Linked DNA regions of Drosophila melanogaster. The protein of the gene in region 3 interacts with the protein of the main gene of each other region in a pairwise test. Each region holds a gene or a part of one and is shown on either strand. Other genes may lie near its edges. The genes, in order: PolH, Tsp42Ej, ND-39 and CG10927.

The links.
Region 1: the proteins of ND-39 (region 3) and PolH interact in a two-hybrid assay, tested with the Drosophila melanogaster proteins (one large-scale study listed by BioGRID).
Region 2: the proteins of ND-39 (region 3) and Tsp42Ej interact in a two-hybrid assay, tested with the Drosophila melanogaster proteins (one large-scale study listed by BioGRID).
Region 4: the proteins of ND-39 (region 3) and CG10927 interact in a two-hybrid assay, tested with the Drosophila melanogaster proteins (one large-scale study listed by BioGRID).

What each region holds. Positions count from the first base shown.
Region 1 is NT_037436.4:21,938,109-21,943,804, reverse strand, and holds PolH (DNA polymerase eta), read left to right. Parts: upstream 1-1,992; 5' UTR 1,993-2,035; coding exon 2,036-2,467; intron 2,468-2,521; coding exon 2,522-3,018; intron 3,019-3,076; coding exon 3,077-4,805; 3' UTR 4,806-5,171; downstream 5,172-5,696. Other genes in the region: CG14562 (uncharacterized protein), read right to left, coding at 1-59; SLC22A family member, read right to left, coding at 5,288-5,485, 5,551-5,696. UniProt on the Drosophila melanogaster protein: DNA polymerase specifically involved in the DNA repair by translesion synthesis (TLS). Plays an important role in translesion synthesis, where the normal high-fidelity DNA polymerases cannot proceed and DNA synthesis stalls.
Region 2 is NT_033778.4:7,038,587-7,043,302, forward strand, and holds Tsp42Ej (tetraspanin 42Ej), read left to right. Parts: upstream 1-1,549; 5' UTR 1,550-1,891; coding exon 1,892-1,957; intron 1,958-2,982; coding exon 2,983-3,144; intron 3,145-3,198; coding exon 3,199-3,561; intron 3,562-3,993; coding exon 3,994-4,086; 3' UTR 4,087-4,176; downstream 4,177-4,716. Other genes in the region: Tsp42Ek (tetraspanin 42Ek), read left to right, coding at 4,446-4,505.
Region 3 is NT_037436.4:20,490,397-20,497,631, forward strand, and holds ND-39 (NADH dehydrogenase (ubiquinone) 39 kDa subunit), read left to right. Parts: upstream 1-1,685; 5' UTR 1,686-1,818; intron 1,819-2,845; exon of another isoform or gene 2,846-3,094; intron 3,095-4,266; exon of another isoform or gene 4,267-4,525; intron 4,526-4,950; exon of another isoform or gene 4,951-4,955; 5' UTR 4,956-5,083; coding exon 5,084-5,123; intron 5,124-5,228; coding exon 5,229-5,679; intron 5,680-5,761; coding exon 5,762-6,127; intron 6,128-6,195; coding exon 6,196-6,589; 3' UTR 6,590-6,688; downstream 6,689-7,235.
Region 4 is NT_033778.4:18,611,464-18,614,766, forward strand, and holds CG10927 (uncharacterized protein), read left to right. Parts: upstream 1-1,626; 5' UTR 1,627-1,663; coding exon 1,664-2,746; 3' UTR 2,747-2,777; downstream 2,778-3,303. Other genes in the region: CG42697 (uncharacterized protein), read right to left, coding at 545-615, 828-963, 1,020-1,232; mRpS28 (mitochondrial ribosomal protein S28), read right to left, coding at 2,778-2,961, 3,019-3,140, 3,202-3,303.

The DNA.
Region 1 (5,696 bases), 1.4 Mb from region 3:
CCGTTGAGGGCATACGTCTGCTGCCTGGCAAAGTTGTAGGCCTGCAGGATCTTCACCATGGTGGCTCTCTACAAAAAAGACGATGAATTCTTTTTTTACGGCACTCTAGAATTACAAACTAAGCCCTCAGCTTAGTGGAGTGACTTCATCGCCGGACGTACACAGACTGATGGCCTCACCGTGAATCAGCCACTAGAGCAGGGAGTTCTCTGACTGAGCGTGGGACAGAGAAAGGGAGAAGTCCGAGTGACAGTGGATTGGCGGACCGCTTAGCGGGGCTCAAGTGGTTCTTATTTGGGCATGTGAACCATTAGCATAATTGTGCGCTTATACTGGGGTTAGGGATCGGAAGAGTGGATGTGCCGATGAGGCCTAAGGCTAGCGCATATGGGCAAGCTAGGCTAGGATAGGGCAGTTAAAAAGTGAAGCACTTAAATTTAATAAGAGTTAGCCGCAGAATATTTCGGGATTGTAGATAAAGTCGCGATCAAAATTAAATCTTTAATCGGTAAAAATTTTGTTAATCTACGATATATGTATGTATACTATCTGGAGTCACAAAAAGTAGGGAAGCAAATAAAACTGTGATAAATACATTTTAAATTGAAAATCCAAAAATATCACTCGCAGTACACCTTTTTCATTCACCATCCGTCTTTCAGAATCATAGATATGCAATCGAACTTTTGAACACCTTTTTTAAAAGAGAGAGTGGTACATTTGGTAAAACAAGAACCCGTCCCAACGTCGTGCGGCATCAAGTATTCCAATAGGTCAGTGCTGCACCTTTACTTCAGGTGGAAGTCCTGCGTTGTTGTATTGTACGCTTTGACCATAGAGTAAACAGACAGGAAATTAGGTCACGATAGTATACAAAAACACGCCCTTCCTGATTTCCGCCGCCCACCACCACCGGCATTCTATGAGGCGATTAAAGTGGGCCCGGTATCCCAACCCCGATTCCGAGTAGCTATACGTGAGTTAGCCCAATTAAGCCATTGGACATTCGCTGGACATACCACTCGGCGCATCAATCAAAACAGCCGGCCAGGAGGCGGACACGGAAGTGGCATAGCCGGAAATAGACAAGGATTGAGATTTATTTCTGGTCGCTCGGTCAAATCAATAATTCCCGCGTAATCCGTGCGTTAACCCAAATGAACTTGGGAAATGGAGAAGCCAGAACATGCAAATGTGTGTTACGGCGGGGAATGGGGTCACTAAGAGATGTGTGTGCGTTTTCAGTTGCATTTTGGCAGCGGCTTATATGGAAAAATCAATATCTAAGCATTTTGTTAGAAGGTGCCGCTGGAAACTTGGCAAATAATTTACTCTTTGGCAATGTCTTACGTTTAAACTCGTTTTATTATTCCATACAGAAAAACAGAAGACAGGGTTTAAGGATTTCTGAAATGCATTCTTCTTCGGCGTAGATGTTCCGACAATATATGTTACTTATTATTAGGTGGTAGTTATGCCACGTAAATATAACTCCCAGGACTCCCCGGACTGCACATAATATTTACTCGCGTTTGTTTATATTATTTCCGAGTGAGAAACGACAAACTATAAAATATCCAATATAGTGTGACCAGGTTTTGCTCTAATGCGAAGTACGGATTGGGTAGAGATAAGTATTTTTCAAACTACGCTAGACTACAAAGCATCGATACAAGGGTACGTTATTTAATACTCTCTAATTTTGAATTTCTAAATAGCTTAGTAATAAGAGAGTCTTTAAAAGTATAAAGCTCCACTACTATCGAAAATATGTTTTCAACAAAATTCTTTACTTTTACTTTAAGGAATATCTAACTAAGAAATGATTTATATCGAAGATATAACACAACTGCTTTGATATGTGTTAAAGAGCATATTTTTATTATTATTATTCCGAATTCTTTTATCAGATTTAAATATGGGAAACACTTTAATGTATTCAGTATTCAAAAATGCATCGGTATTTTAAGAAGTCCCCGCCACGGCCACACTCCTGGCGCGCAGTGAAATTCGCGCAATAATACGAAATGAAATCATGTCCAGCGCACGCAGCCATGTCAGCATGCAGAACAAGTACGACCGCGTGGTCCTGCTGGTGGACATGGACTGCTTCTTTTGCCAGGTGGAGGAGAAGCAGCATCCGGAATACCGCAACCGCCCGCTGGCCGTCGTCCAGTACAATCCCTGGCGAGGTGGCGGCATCATAGCAGTGAACTACGCCGCTCGTGCCAAGGGAGTCACTCGCCACATGCGCGGCGACGAGGCGAAGGACCTGTGTCCGGAGATCGTGCTCTGCCAGGTGCCGAATATCCGGGAGAAGGCCGATACTAGCAAGTACCGCGATGCCGGCAAGGAGGTGGCCAACGTGCTGCAGCGATTTACGCAGCTCCTGGAGCGCGCTTCCGTGGATGAGGCGTACTTGGACATAACGGAGACCGTTAACCATCGCATGCAGCAGATGCAGAGTGTAAGCTCTGGCACATAATTTTAAAGCGTTTTATTATTATTTTCCTCGTTGCAGGGAGCCTTTGCATTGCAACCGCAGGAACTGGTGAACACCTTTGCTGTGGGCTATCCCAGCATTGGCGACTACGTCAACAAGATAACAAATCGCTTCGCCAATCCCTACATGGACGACGAACGCTACCAGATGTCCTACGACCAAAACGACCTTCCCGCCGTCCGACAAAGCGACATTCGGCTTCTTATTGGAGCCTCTGTGGCAGGTGAAGTCCGCGCGGCTGTAAAAAAAGAGACAGGCTACGAGTGCTCGGCTGGCATAGCGCACAATAAGATCCTGGCCAAGTTGGCAGCTGGAATGAACAAGCCCAACAAGCAGACTATTTTGCCGTTGACGGAGACCGCCAGCCTCTTCGACTCCTTGCCTGTTGGCAAGATCAAGGGGCTGGGTGGCAAATTCGGTGAGGTGGTGTGTGAGACATTAGGCATAAAGTTCATGGGCCAGGTGGTCAAGTTTTCGGAGGTAGATCTGCAGCGCAAGTTTGACGAGAAGAATGGGTGGGTCCCTTAAGAGGAGTAGACCACGTTCAAAGTAACTTATTTCCTCTTATTCCAGAACCTGGCTATTTAACATCTCTCGCGGCATAGACCTGGAAGCCGTGACTCCCCGCTTCTATTCGAAAAGCATTGGCTGCTGTAAAAAGTTTCCGGGTCGAAATAACATTACGGGGTTGAAAACCCTTCAACATTGGCTTGGTGAGCTTTCCTCCGAGATCAACGACCGCCTTGAGAAGGACTTCATCGAGAACAATCGCAGGGCCAAACATATGGTGGTGCAATATGTGCAGGACATTGACGGCGAGGAGGTGGCCAGCTCCCGCTCGACTGCTCTCAGAGATTACGACCAGGAGTCCATCGTAAGGCTTTCTCTAGACCTAATCAAGGCAAACACTAAAACGTTTCTGCGTCCTGGTAGCGAGTCTGCTTTAAACAATGCTATCAAGTTCCTTGGCATTAGTGTTGGCAAGTTCGAAACCGTCTCTAGTGGGCAAAACAAGCTGCAGGAGATGTTTGCTAACCAGGCTGCCAAGAAACGAAGGGTAAGTGGAGATGAGCCAGGGCAACTGCCTAAAGTTGAAATGGAGAAAAAGCAGAAGCAAACGGACGAATTTAAGATGAAGAGCTTCTTTGCAAACTATTTGCAAGGAGCTAAAAAAGAGGATGCGAAAGCAGACGGCATTTCTGCGAATCCCTTGGCTGCTGCAGCAGGTGCTCCAAACAAGAATTTCGTAGAGGAATACAAACATAAGCTTCATGCGGCCGTAAGGACTGAAGGAACTGTTCTCACATCAACACCAGCGGAGTTCAAGGAAAGCTTTTTTTCACAGTACCTAAAACAACAAAAAAAGACAGGACAGCAAGGGTCGGTTACATCGAGGGAGGACTCCTTAGATGTGCAGGAGCTGGCCGAGGAATTGGACGCCATTGAGGCTGACAATTCGAAAGATTTTGAAGAAGACACTGAAGAGGAGACGGAGTTAACTAGTGATACCCACATGTCTAAGCCTGAAGGACAGTCATCCGATGCCGGACAAGAACAGGATCCAAACACCTTGAATGATTCAACAGGGAATGACTTATACGTTGAAACTGGTATTGTGCCTCCCACGCTTACTGAAGACGAATTGAAGCCTTCAACATCAAAAAGAAAGTTCGATGAGATCGAAAGTTCTGTAAGTAATTACAAGGAGTGTTACGTAGAGTTTGCAGTACCCAACCTTCGCACCGATATCTTGCCTACTATCAAATGCGATCAGTGCGGAGCAAACATTCCCGACGAAGTTAAGTCCCTACAAACACATAGAGACCATCACTTCGCCCAGGAACTAAGCCGAACGCTAAGAAGCACCGAGCGGGAAGAGAGGACGCAGAGCCGACAGAAGATATCTCTTAAGCCGACGCCACCCAAAAAGAGCAAGAAGACGGCTGGTTCTGGTAGCAGTTCCTACAGTACGGCACCACCGAGTAACAGCATAACCAAGTTCTTCCGCGCCAAACCAACTCAGGAGCAAGCGCCCAGTGATCCACAGATGAATCAGTGCCCCGAGTGTAAGGCTTTCATCAAGTGTGTAGACATGCCGGAACACTTAGACTACCACGTAGCCAGAAACCTTCAACGTGAACTAAACCAGCAGGATCTGCGAACTCGAACCGCAGCTCTGAATAAAGAAAAAATATCTCCAGTTCAGCCAAAGAAACAATCTCAGAAGAAACTGAACTCAACCATTTCTGCATCTTCAAGCGGAACAAAGACAATTGCCCAGTTTTTCAGCCAAAGCAATTAGAGAAACCCTTACACCGCTCCAAGTATTTGAACCTGTATAAGTACCTACGAATGGACCACAGACAAATTTACTTCACTTTAAGATTAAAACATTTTCACATTCAATTCCAAATTAAAAAACAATAATAATTTTTTGCTAGCACATATCCTAGTTATTAAAATCTCAATCTGGCTCTGGACAGCAAATTGATTAGGATTGTTTATTTCTTTTTTTTACTGCTGTTTATTATTTTTTTTTTCAAATCGAGTAATGAAACTCTTAGATTTAATTTTTTTTGTTTTATTTTTCCAATTTTAGGCTTAAGTATTAATGTTGATCATTACCATTACCATCCATCCGTTAATTAATAAAACACAACGCTCTGTCAATGCTAAATATTTTATATGTATAGTATGGTTTGTTCTTAGCGTTATAACACATTTGAAGAGAAATGTATTTGTCTTTGTATTTGCAGGCTGCCTTAAAATAAGATTACGTTAGAACTACTGCGCTTGAGTGGCCGTGACGACTAGATCAAGATCCTTGCTCTTCGATTGCTTCTTGACGCCTATGGCGTCCGCTTCCTGCACTGTTGTAGGTAAAACTACGTTGGTGGTCTCTGGAAAGAACAGCGTGAGCAGGCCGCTCACGATGGCGGCGCCGGCGAAGAGCATGGCAGGAGCATTGGCATAATACTTGGCCTGTGGAGAAAGGGAAAGGAAGCACTTAGATATAACAGGAGATCCTTGTAGCTTTGAGCACCCACCAGAAGAGGCGTCTGCGGGGCCAGCATGGAACCAAACCTGCCCATCATGGAGCAGAAGCTAAGCAGACTGTTTCTCAGATTCGTGGGATAGATCTCTGAGGCGAAGAAATAGAGCACCTGGAAGCTGGCAGTGATGGTCAGTTTGC
Region 2 (4,716 bases), on a different chromosome or scaffold from region 3:
CGAAGTCTTTAAGTTGTTTCACTTTCAATAAGCTTAAGAAGAAATCTTCTCCGCTTACACTGAAGAGTCTCCAGTTGCGAATCATTATCATCTCCGCTTTAAATTTCCGCATTGTTCCTCCACGTACACACAGTTGGCCCATTCCTGGGGTTAGTCCAGTGGCCTTCACAGTATCTCCGAAAGTTTGCCAGACAGTGCTCCATGTCATAGAGCAGTGGACACGCAGCGTGCGGCTGGGGATGTTCATGCTTTCGTCGTCGACAATAATTGCCAAAAGCATGTGTTTATCCCTTAAAAAGCTCAGGAGTCTGCTCAAAGTGATTCTGATGTGTTCAGCCGCCAGACTCTTTTTTTAAATTGGAGGAAAAAACTCCTTCCTTTTAGCGTTGCAATTGCAACCTCGCACTGTTGGTTGATTTTTTGTAGCGTCTTCTAAGTTTAACGTAGCAGACATTTTGGCGTTGGCGGCTTGATAATTAGATAATAATATATCGATATGCCTTGTTTTTCGACCCAATATCGATACACAAAAAGAAATATCGGTCAATACCCAAACCAAAAAAAAAAAAAAGGCGAAGAAGAAGTGGCTGATTTATTTTCAGAGAAATGGGATTTAAGGGCAAATATTCAATAGATAGTATCCTGATGGTCCACTGGATTGGAGGCTTATGGGTATGGAAAATTATAAAAATAATAGTTATCACTTACTTCACAACGGCATTTCTGGCAGGATCCCATGAAACGGAGAGGATTCTCAGGGAGCAAAACTTCGAGCTAGTGCCCACCTTTCGGAGGCTTCACTGGACACATTCTGGACAGTGACATTGTCAAGTCCTTTGTGATGTCTCAGTATGCCAGCCTCAGGCGCATACGGCGGCCCTGGAGGAGATTGACACGCTGCAAAAGTCCCTGAGTGAGGCCAATAATTCAATCATCCAGATCGAGGTCATTGGCGAGGTGGCCTATCCTTGTTATCTGTGCACCAAGAATTTAATCAGAAACGACGCCTTGAATGTGCACATTGGCACCGGCAAGTCTGACATCCGCCACCGAGAAGGAAAGGATCGAGCCACCAATGTGCACCTGATAAACACCATCAAAATGGAGCTGGAGATCAAAGCCGCTAAAGGAGCGCTAGAATGCATAGCAACTCGGTGAATCGTTGCTGGTATTCACAGCATTCTAGGCAATCTTCCACAAAACTGTCACCATCATCATCACTCTCGTAAAAGAAAGAAAAAAGAATTAAACCTTGGTTGTGTTGTTTAATAGCTTCATCGGTGCTAAAAACCTCTGGATACATTAATATTTTCCTAATTGCTTAAGCTCGAATCCATTCAATCATTCAGCAGTTCACATATGTACGCTCATGACAGACCCGATAAGAATTCGAAAACACCACCGTGTGGAAACGCCAGTCGACATGACTTGGAGCTCTGACCCAAGTGCAACGCTCTCTTTTGAGAGAGCGAGTGCGCTCTGTGTGGTTTATTTTGATTGGGGAACAACAGTCCTCACGGGAAGAGAGAAAAACAAAACTTTTCCCGCTTTCAGTTTGCCAGCGAACGCAGAACGCGCCAGACCAAAAAGTTCAGATTCGAGAGGGGCCCTTGGGTCTCTCATTTTTTCGCTCAGTCGCAGGGCAGCTTTTGTGGCATCAACACCACGAGTTCCAATCCGAAATAGGGCTCAGAGCTCCGAGCCCAGTTTAATGTGGGTGTAGACCTACTCTGGGCGCAAGTAAACAATGCCCTGCCCTAAGCCAGTGGCATAGTGCGAATCGAGCGAGTTTCCGGAACTCGGAGGTCATATCTTCCATTCTATCGGCAGCCAGATACTTTGGTTCACAAGCATAACTGCCAAGGAAACTCACGTGCGACATTGTGGCAACATGGAGAAGTCGTTTCCCATAACACCCTGGAAGTACGGCCTACTGGTCACCTGCATTCTCATTGTGGTAAGTGAAAAAGATGCGCATTTCCCCATTCCAGAGCTTTCCCATTTTCCCGAGCCTGACCCAAATGGGAATCTTGCACAACACCCGGTGATGCGAGCAATGAGCCAAAATCGAAAAATCAATATTGCGCCCAAGTTCACATCTTTCGCAAGAGAGCAAAAATTGGTGACAATGAGCCGCTAAAGACTATAAACAAATCGATGCAATCTCAAAAAATATTTATAAATGCATAATACCTGTTCACATACTTACATAATTCCGCCGGCCAGCTGTTTGTAATTTTTGCAATATCTATAAATGGCCCGCAATTCTGGGTGGCTTACGCCAATTAAATTCACTATTATATTATATAATTTATTCTTATACAATTATGCACATGGGACACTGTTTACAAATGTCAGAGATTGATTAAGCATGAAAGCATAAAATGTTCTTGCATTTGCATGCTATAGTCTCATAGATTTTCATTTTGGTGCTTAGCAAGTACAAATGCCAAATGCCTAATGCTCATTTTACCATAGTTTAGAAAACTAGTTGATGGATAGCTGGTAATGTCTGACTGCCAAATGTAAGTTGAAAAAATGACGCTGTAGACGCTAATGAATCGTGCTTGTATTTATTTATTTGGCACCCCAGCACTACACGTGCAATTTATTATTTAAAGTGCTTGTCGCGGCATTAAAATATTATTAGGTCAGTACAAAATGTATATTTAGACTTTGAAGCTGGCTGATCAACGATTTAATAAGTAACTTTCACCTATTAAAAATAATAAACCCTAAAACTATTACGCCTTATCGGTAGGTGTTAAATAATAATGCATTCCATATAGCTAGTTCCTGAAGTTCATACGCACAACCTTGGCAAGTAATTTATTAAGTTATTGGGGCCACACTTTTAGTTTTAGTTTCTAACTCTGCGAGAAAGATGTTCGTTCAAGAAGAAATAGATTAGGAAGTAATTTAGTCCATAATTTTCCTTAGTACTAAGGACTTAACTAACTATTTTGTTTCCCTTTCGTTCAGACGTGCAACGTGTTCTTCTTCTCCTGTGGCGTGACCACCTGGGGTTCGGCCGTCTCCGTCTACGGCAGCTATGGGTCGGCACTTTGCGGAGGAGCAGTTTTCGGAGTCGCCTTCCTGGGCATGTACGTGGCCTTGAAGGTGTCGTACAAGTATTCCATATACGTGAGTAAACTGCGTTCACAACTGCAAGTCACAGACTAACCTCTTTGCATTCAGTACCTAATTTGCAGTGGCCTGGTTATAGCCGCCCTGGGCTCCTACCTCTTCACCTTCACGGCGATGCGGGAGCAGCTGATGGGCAGGTTCGAGGAGCGCATGCGCGACCTCTTCGAGCGAAAGACCCACAGCGACGACAAGATGCAGCCAGTGCACAGCCTCTTCGGCTGCTGCGGCATTGAGGGACCGCAGGACTACCTTCAGGAGGAGCACGGCGCCCTGCCCAGCAGCTGCTGCTACGCCTTCGACTGCTCCAAGCCGGCGCACGTCTACGAGGAGGGATGCTCCACCAAGGCGGTAGCTACTCTGAGAATGCAGGCGGAGCTCAACTACTACAGCTGCATGGCGATCATTGCCCTCGAGGTGAGACATTAAACCATACGCAGGGTAAAATTCACTTGCCACAAGGGTACTTGAGCACAAGGGTATGTTTCGGCACGTCGCTTATGGAAGAGTTATCCAATAACTTTTGAATTAACGCACACAACTGACTCAGTGAACACATTTTAACTACTTTTTTATTCGTCACGCTTAAATAGAAATCCCTGCCAAGATAAGATGTGTGTTTTTTCATTCAAACCATTTTTGTTACTAAAGTTTTCTTTAAACTAAATATGTCAAAGGTGCGATCGTTACTATTTATGTACACAGTTGTTGAGCTTTTGCTTGATGTTATAAAGTTATAAAGTAGTAAGGACGTTAAGACAGTAAAATATTTTTTTAACAAAGTTCGCTTGTCTATTCGATTTCGATTCCATATCAATATTATATTATTACAATTTATGTATTTTTCAGTTTTTGGGCTTGTTCACCGCTTACCATTTGGGCAAGGCTCGCAAGTATGCCAAAACCAAGATAAAGGACGAGGAGACCCCCATCAACGACTGATGGCCGAGGATACCCCTGCATGATTATTGATAATAAAAATTAACCAAATTAGCTAAAATGCCATTAGAAAATAAATACTTTCCATAGCCTAAACGAGTTCCCCGCAGTTATATCTCTCTCTCATTGAATTCGGCATCATTCGGCTGCGAAGATCTGAAAAACAAAAGAACATTGAAGAGCGCAGATCGTGATTTTGGGATTTTACGTGCTGCCGGCAAATATTTGCATCTGAAATTCATTGTCTATCGGAACTCCGATCTGGCAGGTTCGATCATACAACAAAGATTACTCTCTATTACTAATTATTCAAGAGGAATTAGTTTGGAATTTTACAAAAACAGCTTAATCGTAGCACTAGGATGGGCTGCACTTCCGGTTGCGTTAAGTGTTTCCTTAACACTCTTAATACTCTGAACGCGGTGAGTTCTTAACATATGCATATATTCACATGCATATGAATAAAAATTGGTAATTCTGTGCTATAAGAATGTATTACAAATGTAAATTAGCCATCTGTGTTCCCACAGGAATTTAAATGAATACATTTTTCTGCAAATCGACAAGCAAGTACGCATTCCGTTTTCATGGAATCGAAAATTTGTTTGGCCAGTAAACGTAATTTGCTTGTCA
Region 3 (7,235 bases):
TAATGCCATTTTTTGGGGTAAAAGATTTAATGTACACTTGTTTTCGAAACCGATTAAAAAAAAAAGAAAAAGTTGGCATATCACGCTAGATTGAATAAAGTAATTGCTCGTATTTATTGGATTTGTATATTTAGCGAATTTTTTTTTTTCAAATTTAATGCTTACTGGTGGTAAACTGTTTAAATAAAGAAAATTAATATGCAACATATCGGTATTGTTATTGATATCGCCGCTAAACCTTTGATTTAACATCACTCGAAATATTTATTGAAGTGAAAACAGAAGCAATCGGCAAGTAAAATGAACAACTTATAACGTGTAATTAAATTTATATATAAATTTCTTTTAGTTTGTATGTTAACTAGCTATTTAATTGCGAATAAGTCCAATGTTCAATTGAATGTCCGTCCGTCCGTCTGACCGTACATATTTTTTTAAAGATATTTGTAAAAAGTTGAGACAAGGCATGCATCCCGACATCTGAGTAACAGGTATCTGGTTATTTTATAGATGCTATGTATAGTTAAACAACTATTTTACAAAAATGAAATTGCTCACAGATTAGTATTGCGAGAAATCTTTTTACTTTCGAGAATTCAATTGCAAAATTTTAAGGTTTTTATGGAATGTTTTTTCACCCCTTTTGTCATAATTATTTGATTACCCTCGAATCCGGACCTTCTCAGATGGCGTAAAGTCCAGATCGTAAATCTGAGCCAAGAGTTGACAGCTCAATTGCCAATTAGACCAATGCAACAGCTCACTCCATTAATTGAAAAAATAAACAAAAAGTGAAGCGTGCAGTAAAATTCGGGACCAATAACATTTGCTTTTTGTTTTGATTTGCCATCATCAGGTTTCAGGTGCATTAATTCTGTTTGCTTGTTTAATTTTTTGCTTCTTTCGGACCATTGCCTGCATACAAATGAAGTTTGGCAACAAACAGCATTTGTTGCCTATTGGTTTTTGCGTAGATTTTAAACTGAATTACAAAAATACTTCCTATACGGGTCCCTGGCCTGTTTTCAAAACAACCAGCAGCTAAAATCTAACAATTTTGACCATTTCGGACACGATGACAAGGTTGCCGATGCCTTTGGAATTTCTAATTCGCAAGGGAACGGTGTTATTTAAAAATTCTATCAATATTGTTATTGTCTATCAGTGGGCCACAGACAACGTGTGCTGCCAATATTTTATTACTTTGTTGCCCATGAGGCGCATTTGAACATTTCGAACGCGCCAAAATCGGACTCCTGATAAGCAGATAGAGATAGTTGTCTACCGACCCTATCGCTATCTCACCCCAGGTGATTAAGTGGTAAGTGGACAGGTCTGACTGATAAGAGCGATTTGGAAAACAATATCGAAAACAACTCGGCTTTCAGTGGGTTAAAATGCCATCACTAGTCGAGGGATTGATTCGATGGGGAATGTTGATGTTGCCACCGGTAAATGTTGCCAAGTGGAAATTAATATTTTTAGGGGGGCTCTCTTATAATATGGGATGTAAATATGACTTATTTAGGTAATACAGCCTTAAAATCATAGGTACATTATAAATATAAGATGTAAGATAAGAGTTAATAAAGATGGAACAACTAGGCGAAAGTAAGTATGCAGATTTTAAGTTATTCCATATTAGTAAGTAGTAGGCTATAAGTTAAATTGCATTGCACTCGGCTAAATTTTCCGTACTAATTGTGTGTTCTATAAAAATCCAGCTTGTATCTTACTGCTTTTTAGCCCATAATCATAAAAGTGAAACCCAATCCACGTTTTTTTTCGCGAATTCACAACCCTGACCACCTGTACATAGTAAGTGATGAAGCACACGATTCAATGAAATATTCCCATTATAATAAACAAAGAAGTGTAAATATTTTAATTACGATTTTATGCACCACCATCTACGTGCAATCTGCACCTATATACATAAGTATATATCTATATATGTACATATGTATGCTTTCCCTGCATCCTCATCGAAAACGTGATCAGTTGGGGTCCGAGAGATTTTTTGATGATTTACAAAAACCCATTAAAATAATACGAAGTTTGATATTAATGCTGATTACTAAAGACCCACTTCAATTACACTTAATGACTCGAAATTACAAAACGACAAATCTAATTGAATTAAATTTATAAACATACAATGCGGTTGCAGTGATAGAAGTAATAAATACAATAATAGCTTTCTATGTAAGAGATTAAAATATAATAATTTTTCTTTTAATATAAATGTAAAATTTTTGGATCTCACGCTACTCTTTAGATTAATAATTTGAGTTGGCTAATATAACCGTGCAACCAAAAATGCATTATTAACTCAATCGCAAACAAATTAGTTTGTTTATTATTTCATAGAGTAATTGTTTATAATATTTTGGAACTGGAAACACGGCCGAGCTGGGTTCTTCAGAACTTGAGCCAAGGCCCGGGATTAATTTCCATTGAATTAGCTAAGGGTGAGAATTTGTTTTTAGCTTAATCTCGATGCGACTGGCAGGTGGATCGTAGACAGATATAACCGTTAATTAGCATTAATTTCGATCGAACTTATTTTTATACACCGCAGAAGTAATACATATTTCGGGCAATATTTTTTCACATCGGTGCCAAGAGGCGCGAGGCGTCTTAATAATCACTTGCTAAATGGATCTACAATCTGCCCGCTAACGAATCAGTCATCTATATACAATCTGCGAGTATCCAAAACTGCGCGCATTAGGGCGTATTTTTCCGATTCCTGGGCCCAGATACAAAGCCGAATTTCGCATACGGCCGAAAAGCCCTTATCAGTCTAGACCCCTAATACTGTGGCTAAGAACTGGAGAATTACCGTCTTTTGGACTCTGATAAGCGAAAAAAGGCCTGCGTTCGCTTTACGTTTTCTAATTATAACCGCGGCAGCGTAAATTGCTTTGGAAAATGTAGCTTTTCCTATTTTATTGTTATTATTATTATTATTATTATTCACACACACGCACGTTAGCGATTTAAAATATTTCGAGGCACACGCGCTAATTTTTTCGGGAGCGAATCATTCAGATCGTTGTTAACTGCAGCGCGGCTCAAACACGAATGATCGCAAAAGACGACGAGAAATATACATATGGCAAAATAAACGGAAAACCCGAAGCACCATGCCGAACTATAAGTACTCTTTTAATTGAAATTCGAAATGTTATAATACTAGTAAAGCTATGTTCTACAAAAACAAGAAGATTTCCTCATTATAATTCTGAGCATTCATAATTGAATTAAAATTAATTTTAATTTTTTCACTAGAACGGATATGTTCCAAGAGTAGTTAATTTATTTATTTATTTACTTTTGAGTTACTCTTCGTAAGGGTATTAAAGGCAAAGAGAGATGGTCGAATAGGAGCAACAACAACACCAATAACCACGGCCGGCAAAACAAACGAAAAGCCCGCAAATTTAAAGGGTGGGGAGCAGAGATAAGGAAGAGAGAGGTAGAAAGCAACAGTGATAGTATTTGTGTGGGCGAAAAAGTGCGTGAGCAGGTTGAAAAAAAATCAGCTGATTGCATGTGAGCTATTAAAGAGAGCGAAATGAGAGCAGAAAAAGGAGAGTGAAATTTATACATATGTTGCTTGTTTATGCCTGTCAAATGTAGGTATGTTTGTATTGTCGTTATCTAGGTAGGTTTATGAGACAACAACAATGCCATAATAAATATTATAAATACATATTTACATATGAAGCTATGGTAATCTCTATAGAATTACATCCTCAATTGTCAAAAGCAGTGATCTGTGCAGATATTTAACTTATCAAACGCACAACTGAAGTCAACAAACAAAAAACAATGTGTTTTATTATAACAATAATATAAACAATGTGTTTTATTATTTATTTTTAGACAGGGTGATTCAATAGAAATATCTGACACGAAATTTACTCTTTATACACAAATACGTACATATATATGTATAAGAACGCGTTTGACACACTGACAAATGTTTATAATTTTTTGTATATCCTGACCCACTGCATGTGTATAATGTAATGTTACAATACCAGAAATATTTTTGTATCGAAGGAGGTTATTCATGACAGTCGCATTCGCCTGAAATCCCATTATCTTAACCAATCTAAAAACAAATTACTAACTTATATACCCTCGGTACTAATTAGTTTACCCAAGCTGTTACATTCAAACCAAATTAGCTAGTGGTCCGCACTTTATAACCGCAAAAATGTGTATCCATTATGAACAGTTTCACCACAAGCTCACTTTTATTTCACTGCTTATCGGTGTTTTTGGTCCGTAGAAATAGTTAATCCTTAGTTGGCCGATTTCGAACAGATAACACTAAGTTTTCCCGATGCTCTCGGTTTTACAGCTCGAAGGCGACTGCTAACTGAATTCTTTGTCCGTAGAACCCAAGCCGTGCCGAATTAAACGATCCGCGGGCTGGAAATTGCAATTAAGCCACGCACATTAGATAAAAAGTTTGCGGTGTGACAAGCAAGGCAGTTACTTTTCAACTGGGACACGGTTAGCTTATGTCTTATTTGCCAACAAATATTTATAAACTAGTGCCAAGCAAGAAGAGTGGTTTATATGACGGTTTAATTACCGCTAAGAGGCTAAGATATCCCCAAGGTTGTCAAAGTAATTATGAGGTAAAATTATTAGTGCCACCTAAATAGTATGAATAATTCGAGATCATAGTAGTTATAACCGTAGTAGCATTTACCGATATTTGATAATCAGATAATTAAAATATGTTTGGTATGCAATGGCCACGAACACGGTCTATTGGTTATGAGGTCAATTATTTACATATTTAGGGTTAACTTTAGGTTAACAGGGCTTTTTAAAAACTATAGAAAAAACTGTTACTTTCCAAATCAAATGTTTTTCTTCAGTCTGGCAGCTTTGTTTGACGGTAGTTTTTGATATCAACCTGTCAATTCTAGTATATTCCAATTGCTACGCCACGGTCACACTGTCGTGGGGCAAAATAAAAAACTGGCCTGTTCCGAAATAAAATAGGATTTTAAGCGTAAATTAACCGAATCGAGTTGGTCCAGTGTGCCGGTGCGAAATGGCCGCCATAGTACTAACCCGTAATCTCCAGCTGGCCAGTGAGTACCGTGCCTGCGGTCGAAAACCGCCAGGCAATCCAATTATGTAATACGATGTTTGTGGCTAACTTTTGGCTCATTCTCTGTCCAATTCCGGATACTTAGAGCACCACGGCAGTGGCGTGGTTGGAGTTTTGTGCCTGCGTGGATATTCCGCCGCTGCTGCGCCGCCGGAAGATGGTCCACGTCCACTGAAGACCACCAATCCGGCTGCCATGAAGCGCGGAACTGGCGGACGTAGCAGTTTCAATGGGATCGTGGCGACCGTTTTCGGTGCCACCGGTTTCGTGGGCCGCTATGTCTGCAACAAACTGGGCAAATCTGGCACCCAGATGATCCTGCCCTATCGCGGTGACGATTCGGATGTTATCCGTCTTAAGGTCACCGGTGATCTTGGCCAGGTACTCTTTCACTTCTACAACCTGGAGGATCCCGCCTCCATTCGTGACGCAGTCAAGCACTCGAACGTGGTCATCAACCTGGTGGGCAGGGACTTCGAGACCAAGAACTTCAAGTTCAAGGATGTCCATGTCAACGGAGCGGAGAGGATCGCTAGGTGAACATCATAGCCAGCATTATTTGCCTGCCCACTTCTTCATTCTAACTTTGCATGACGTAAACCACTTTTATTTCTTCAGGATTGCGCGCGAGGCTGGCGTGGAGCGCTTAATCCACCTGTCCTCTTTGAACGTGGAGGCCAATCCCAAGGATCTGTACGTCAAGGGCGGCAGCGAGTGGCTGAAAAGCAAGTACGAGGGTGAGCTTCGCGTACGCGACGCCTTTCCCAACGCCACGATCATCCGCCCTGCGGATATCTACGGATCCGAGGATCGCTTCTTGCGCTACTACGCCCACATCTGGCGCCGTCAGTTCCGCTCGATGCCGCTGTGGCACAAGGGAGAGAAGACCGTCAAGCAGCCCGTCTACGTTTCGGACGTGGCCCAGGCCATCATCAACGCCGCCAAGGATCCGGACAGCGCTGGCCGCATCTACCAGGCTGTGGGGTAAGTCAATCTCCGAGTCCAAGTATTTGTACCATGTACATTTTCTTAATTTCCTTTATTCTCTGCAGACCTAAACGCTATCAGTTGAGCGAGCTGGTCGACTGGTTCCACCGCCTGATGCGCAAGGACCAGAAGCGCTGGGGCTACATGCGCTACGACATGCGCTGGGACCCCACCTTCCTGCTGAAAGCCAAGCTGAACAGCTTCATCTGCCCCGGCACCCCGATTGGCGGTCTGCATCCCGCTCGCATCGAACGCGAGGCTGTCACCGACAAGGTTCTGACTGGTGTCCCCACGCTTGAGGATTTGGGCGTCACGCTGACCACAATGGAGCAGCAGGTGCCATGGGAGCTGCGTCCCTACCGCGCCGCCCTCTACTACGACGCCGAGCTGGGCGAGTTCGAGACTCCCTCGCCGCCCAAGTGCATCGAGGCGCGCGATGAACTGCGTCTGTTTGCCTAAGCGGAGCGAAGTAGCTGTCTGTGTTGATTGGAAATTTTTAGTTGGAATTGTTTAAGGCGATGCGTCAATAAAGAGAAGTCGAAAGACCCAATGACAACGAAGGAAACTTATATTTCCAAATATTATATAGACATTGATATATGTATTTATTTCGTGCATTTAAATATAAAAAAATTTATAAATACTTTTGAAAAAAAAGTCAAATGGCTAGAAAAGTTTGATGTCGGAAAAAAGATTGGCAGCTCGAAATACCTTTGGTATTTTTCGGTATCTTATTGAGGTGACATCGCTCCGGCAACTAAATCAAAACAAATGAAATCGCTGTCATCGTCTGGCAACGCTTCGCCCGTCCGATTTTTCTTCCTTTGCGACCAGGAGCTTTTCTGCAGCAGTTTCCTCCGAAACTTACGCCCGTGCAGATTTATGGCCGGAAAATCATAGTACGGAAAATTCGATTTCCCAAGTTTTCTGAGTCTGTGTGTGTGTGTGTTTTTGGTGTGTGTAAAGATTTTCAACTTTTCAGCTTGGTTAAGCGGTGAAAAAAGAATATATCAACAACAACACAAGCGCGCGCCCGCCTCTCTTTTCGCGTTTTTGTGCGTGTGAGTGAGAGTGAGTGTGATAATTATGGCATAAGTGGCATACA
Region 4 (3,303 bases), on a different chromosome or scaffold from region 3:
ACACACAAATTGCAGATACAAGTATCTCGCGCTTCGCTGATTTTCCAGTTTCTCCCGTGCAAATCACCTTCGCACCGTTACTTCTAATTGCGGCAAATGGAAAACACTCTCGTCTCACATATACGACTGCACTTGCAGATACACTTGTGTATTTTCAGATATAATTTTTGATATTTTTCCTGCCGATATTTTTATTTCCTTTTTTTTTTCTTGACGGGTAGGGGGCGGTACACTGGCACACACACGCTCATTCGCAGGAACAGCTCGAGCGCTCCAGGAACGACATATCCAGCGCGCGTCTCAGAGTGAACTGACTTACTTGAAAGACACTCAAGTCGGAAGACCCGAGCACGAAGTCACCTCATACACAAATAATGGGGGGATTCGAATACAAGTTCTCTCTCTCTCTCTCGGTGCTCACAGTATTACATCCGATGCGAAGATCGCTGAGAGTTGCATAGTATGCTCATTCCAAGGCGTTCGATCTCCAACATGGTATGTTTGTATCTTCTATGCATGCAACAAGTGGAACCAACTGCAACTCCTAGCAGTCGTGGGTGCATGATCGACAGCACCACCAGGTTGAAATGATGACCCATTCGTAGTACATCTCGACTGGATAAGAGAAAAATATTATTTTAATTAAAAATCGAACGTGAATAGAATTTATGTACTTTTTAAGTCCACTACGTTTTGTTGCTTGTTTGTGTTATATGTTGTGTGTGTGTTATAGAAAGAAGTTCTCGATAGTTAATGTATTAATCTACTTCTCTATCTTCTTTTGTTTTCAGATCCAAAAGAAATTCAAAATTTTTTCACCAACTTACGTATGCTAAGAAAACCGCCCAGAAGGAGGTGCAGAGGGTCCCACAAGAGGATGTAGAAGAGCACCACAAGTGCGATGAGGAGCCCCAGGGCCGCAATACCTATAAAAAAGGACAAGAGCATGGCCCAGCACATGTCCTGTAGAACAGCGATTGGATATCTTTACAAATTTAAGGATAAAAGTATTCACTTACCCACATCGTTCCGAGGAGAAGAAGAATTTTAGCTAGGGCTTGGACAATGCCAAAGACCATTGCCATGACCACAAGCACTGTTTCCGGATTGCCCTTGATCATCTCGAATAGACCCACAGAAAAGACCATTAAAGCTAGAAGCATCCCCGTGAAGCCGATGAAGATGCAGCCAATGTAAAGCGACAAATAGCCGCAAAACAAGCGCAGACACATTTCGATGTTTCCTCTAAGTTTTGACTAGAAATCACAAGCACATATTTCACTGGAATTTTGAATTTAAACTTTGGGTATCAGACTGGGCACTGCTTACATGTAGACATCAAAAAAGATATTGGTTGTAAGGAATTATAATGCAAATTAGACAATTGATCAGATTATTGAGCTGATTAGATTAAGTATTAGGGAATGTATATCAAAAGTAGGAAATATTTGAAACAGCTCCCAAGCTAAATAGCTTTAAAGACTTTTAAACGTATAATCTTTCACTAAATTATTTTTAAATGCATATTTTAAATAGAAGACATTTTTCAAAGTTGGCGCTTAATATCCAAACAGCTGTTTCAACGCCAGCGCTTGGCACTTATCGATAACCTATTTCAATCGATTCCAATTGGCATTCTTCTAATTGAAGAATTAAGTAAATAATGGATATATCCGCGCCACCAAACAAACGTGCTCGAAAATCACCCAATCTGGATGAAGACATAACTGGGATCCGGGCCATCCTCTCCGATGAGTTCGACGAGGATATTGCGCTCATCAAGGCGCACAGTTGCGAGTTGGAGACGAAACAGCAGCTCCAGGCGGTCATCCAGGAGCTCTCACAGAAATTGCCCCACTTTCAACACCTAAAGCGCGTCCAGGATCGCAGCGTGCTCATATGTCCCAGCTCAGAGATCGGAGTGTCTCAAAGCCTGGAACAACACCTTGAACAGTTTGCCTTTTCGGAGCACGTGCTCCGTGCTTTGTGCCAGGGAGTCCGGGTGGTGGAGGTGCCGGAACGGATGCCCCGACTGCGGGTGCAGTACGAGAAGACCCTTAAGCACTGGCCCTGCAAGTTTCACCCTAATCACTACTCGGAGTCACTGAGGAATGGCAGCAACTTTAGCTCCGCACAACGCACATTTCACAAAAGGATCGGGCAATTGCTTGTGAGGCTCTCGCGGGATGTCAATGCCAATCGTCCGGTGGGCATCTGCGTGGATCCGCGACAACCCAGCATTGTGTCCATTGCTGGAACTGGTGAAGTTTGTAGGCCGCACGAGCACTGCTGCATGATGCTCGTCGATTTTGTGGCTCGCAGTCAAGAAGGAGGCGCCACAAAAACGGAGGTTACATTCACCGAAGATTTCAAGAAGGATACCACTCTGCGGGGTATTCCTAAAGCCTACTACGATTACCTGATGAACAATGAAGACTACAAAGACCTGACATTCGGAGCGGAAAAGTCGAGAGAATGCAAAGAAGTGGACGCAGTTCAAGGAGCAGATAACCTGGCCAAATTCGGACCCTATCTGTGCACCGGCTACGATATCTATCTGCTGCAGGAACCCTGCCTTATGTGCTCCATGGCCCTGGTACATAGCAGGGCGAAAAGAGTATTTTTCGTTAAGAACTCTGAAAACGGAGCTCTAGCCACGAGATTCCAACTGCATTCGGTGCGGGAACTCAACCATCACTACGAAGTGTTCCAGTTCACAACCAAGGAGGATGAAGACTTGACGTAACGTTTAACAAACCTTGGTTTTAATAAAGGATTTATAGGATATCTTCGATTTTCGGCGTTGTTTTGGCCGTCGACTGGCGGGTGGGCGTGGACAGGAGACCCAGCAAATGGCAATCTGCCTCTAGAATGGTAATATCCTTGGACGAACCCAGAAACTTGGTGGACAACTCCAAGTCCTTGATGCGCAGTCGAACACGGGCTCCTCGCACATAGTCGCTGAAGTAGGAAAGGCGGTTTATTGGATAAAGAGACAGGAAATTATATTGAACTCACCTGGCATTGCGTGTTGGACGACTGCAGACGCAGTGAAACTTCCAACCAAAGTCTATGTAGAGATCATCGCCCACCACATGAAAGATCTTGCCACTGACCACCTTGCCCTCGGCGTTGTCCAGCTGCTCCAGAAATCAACAAGTTATTACATAAACAATGGGATTACTTAAATAATGTACCCACATCAATTAATTTGGAGTTGCGCAGCAGGGAGGCGAAGGTCTGGTTGTCTTCCGGCAGCTGTGGAGGCGTGGCTGGTGCCGTGTACTTGTCGAAGGCACGGGC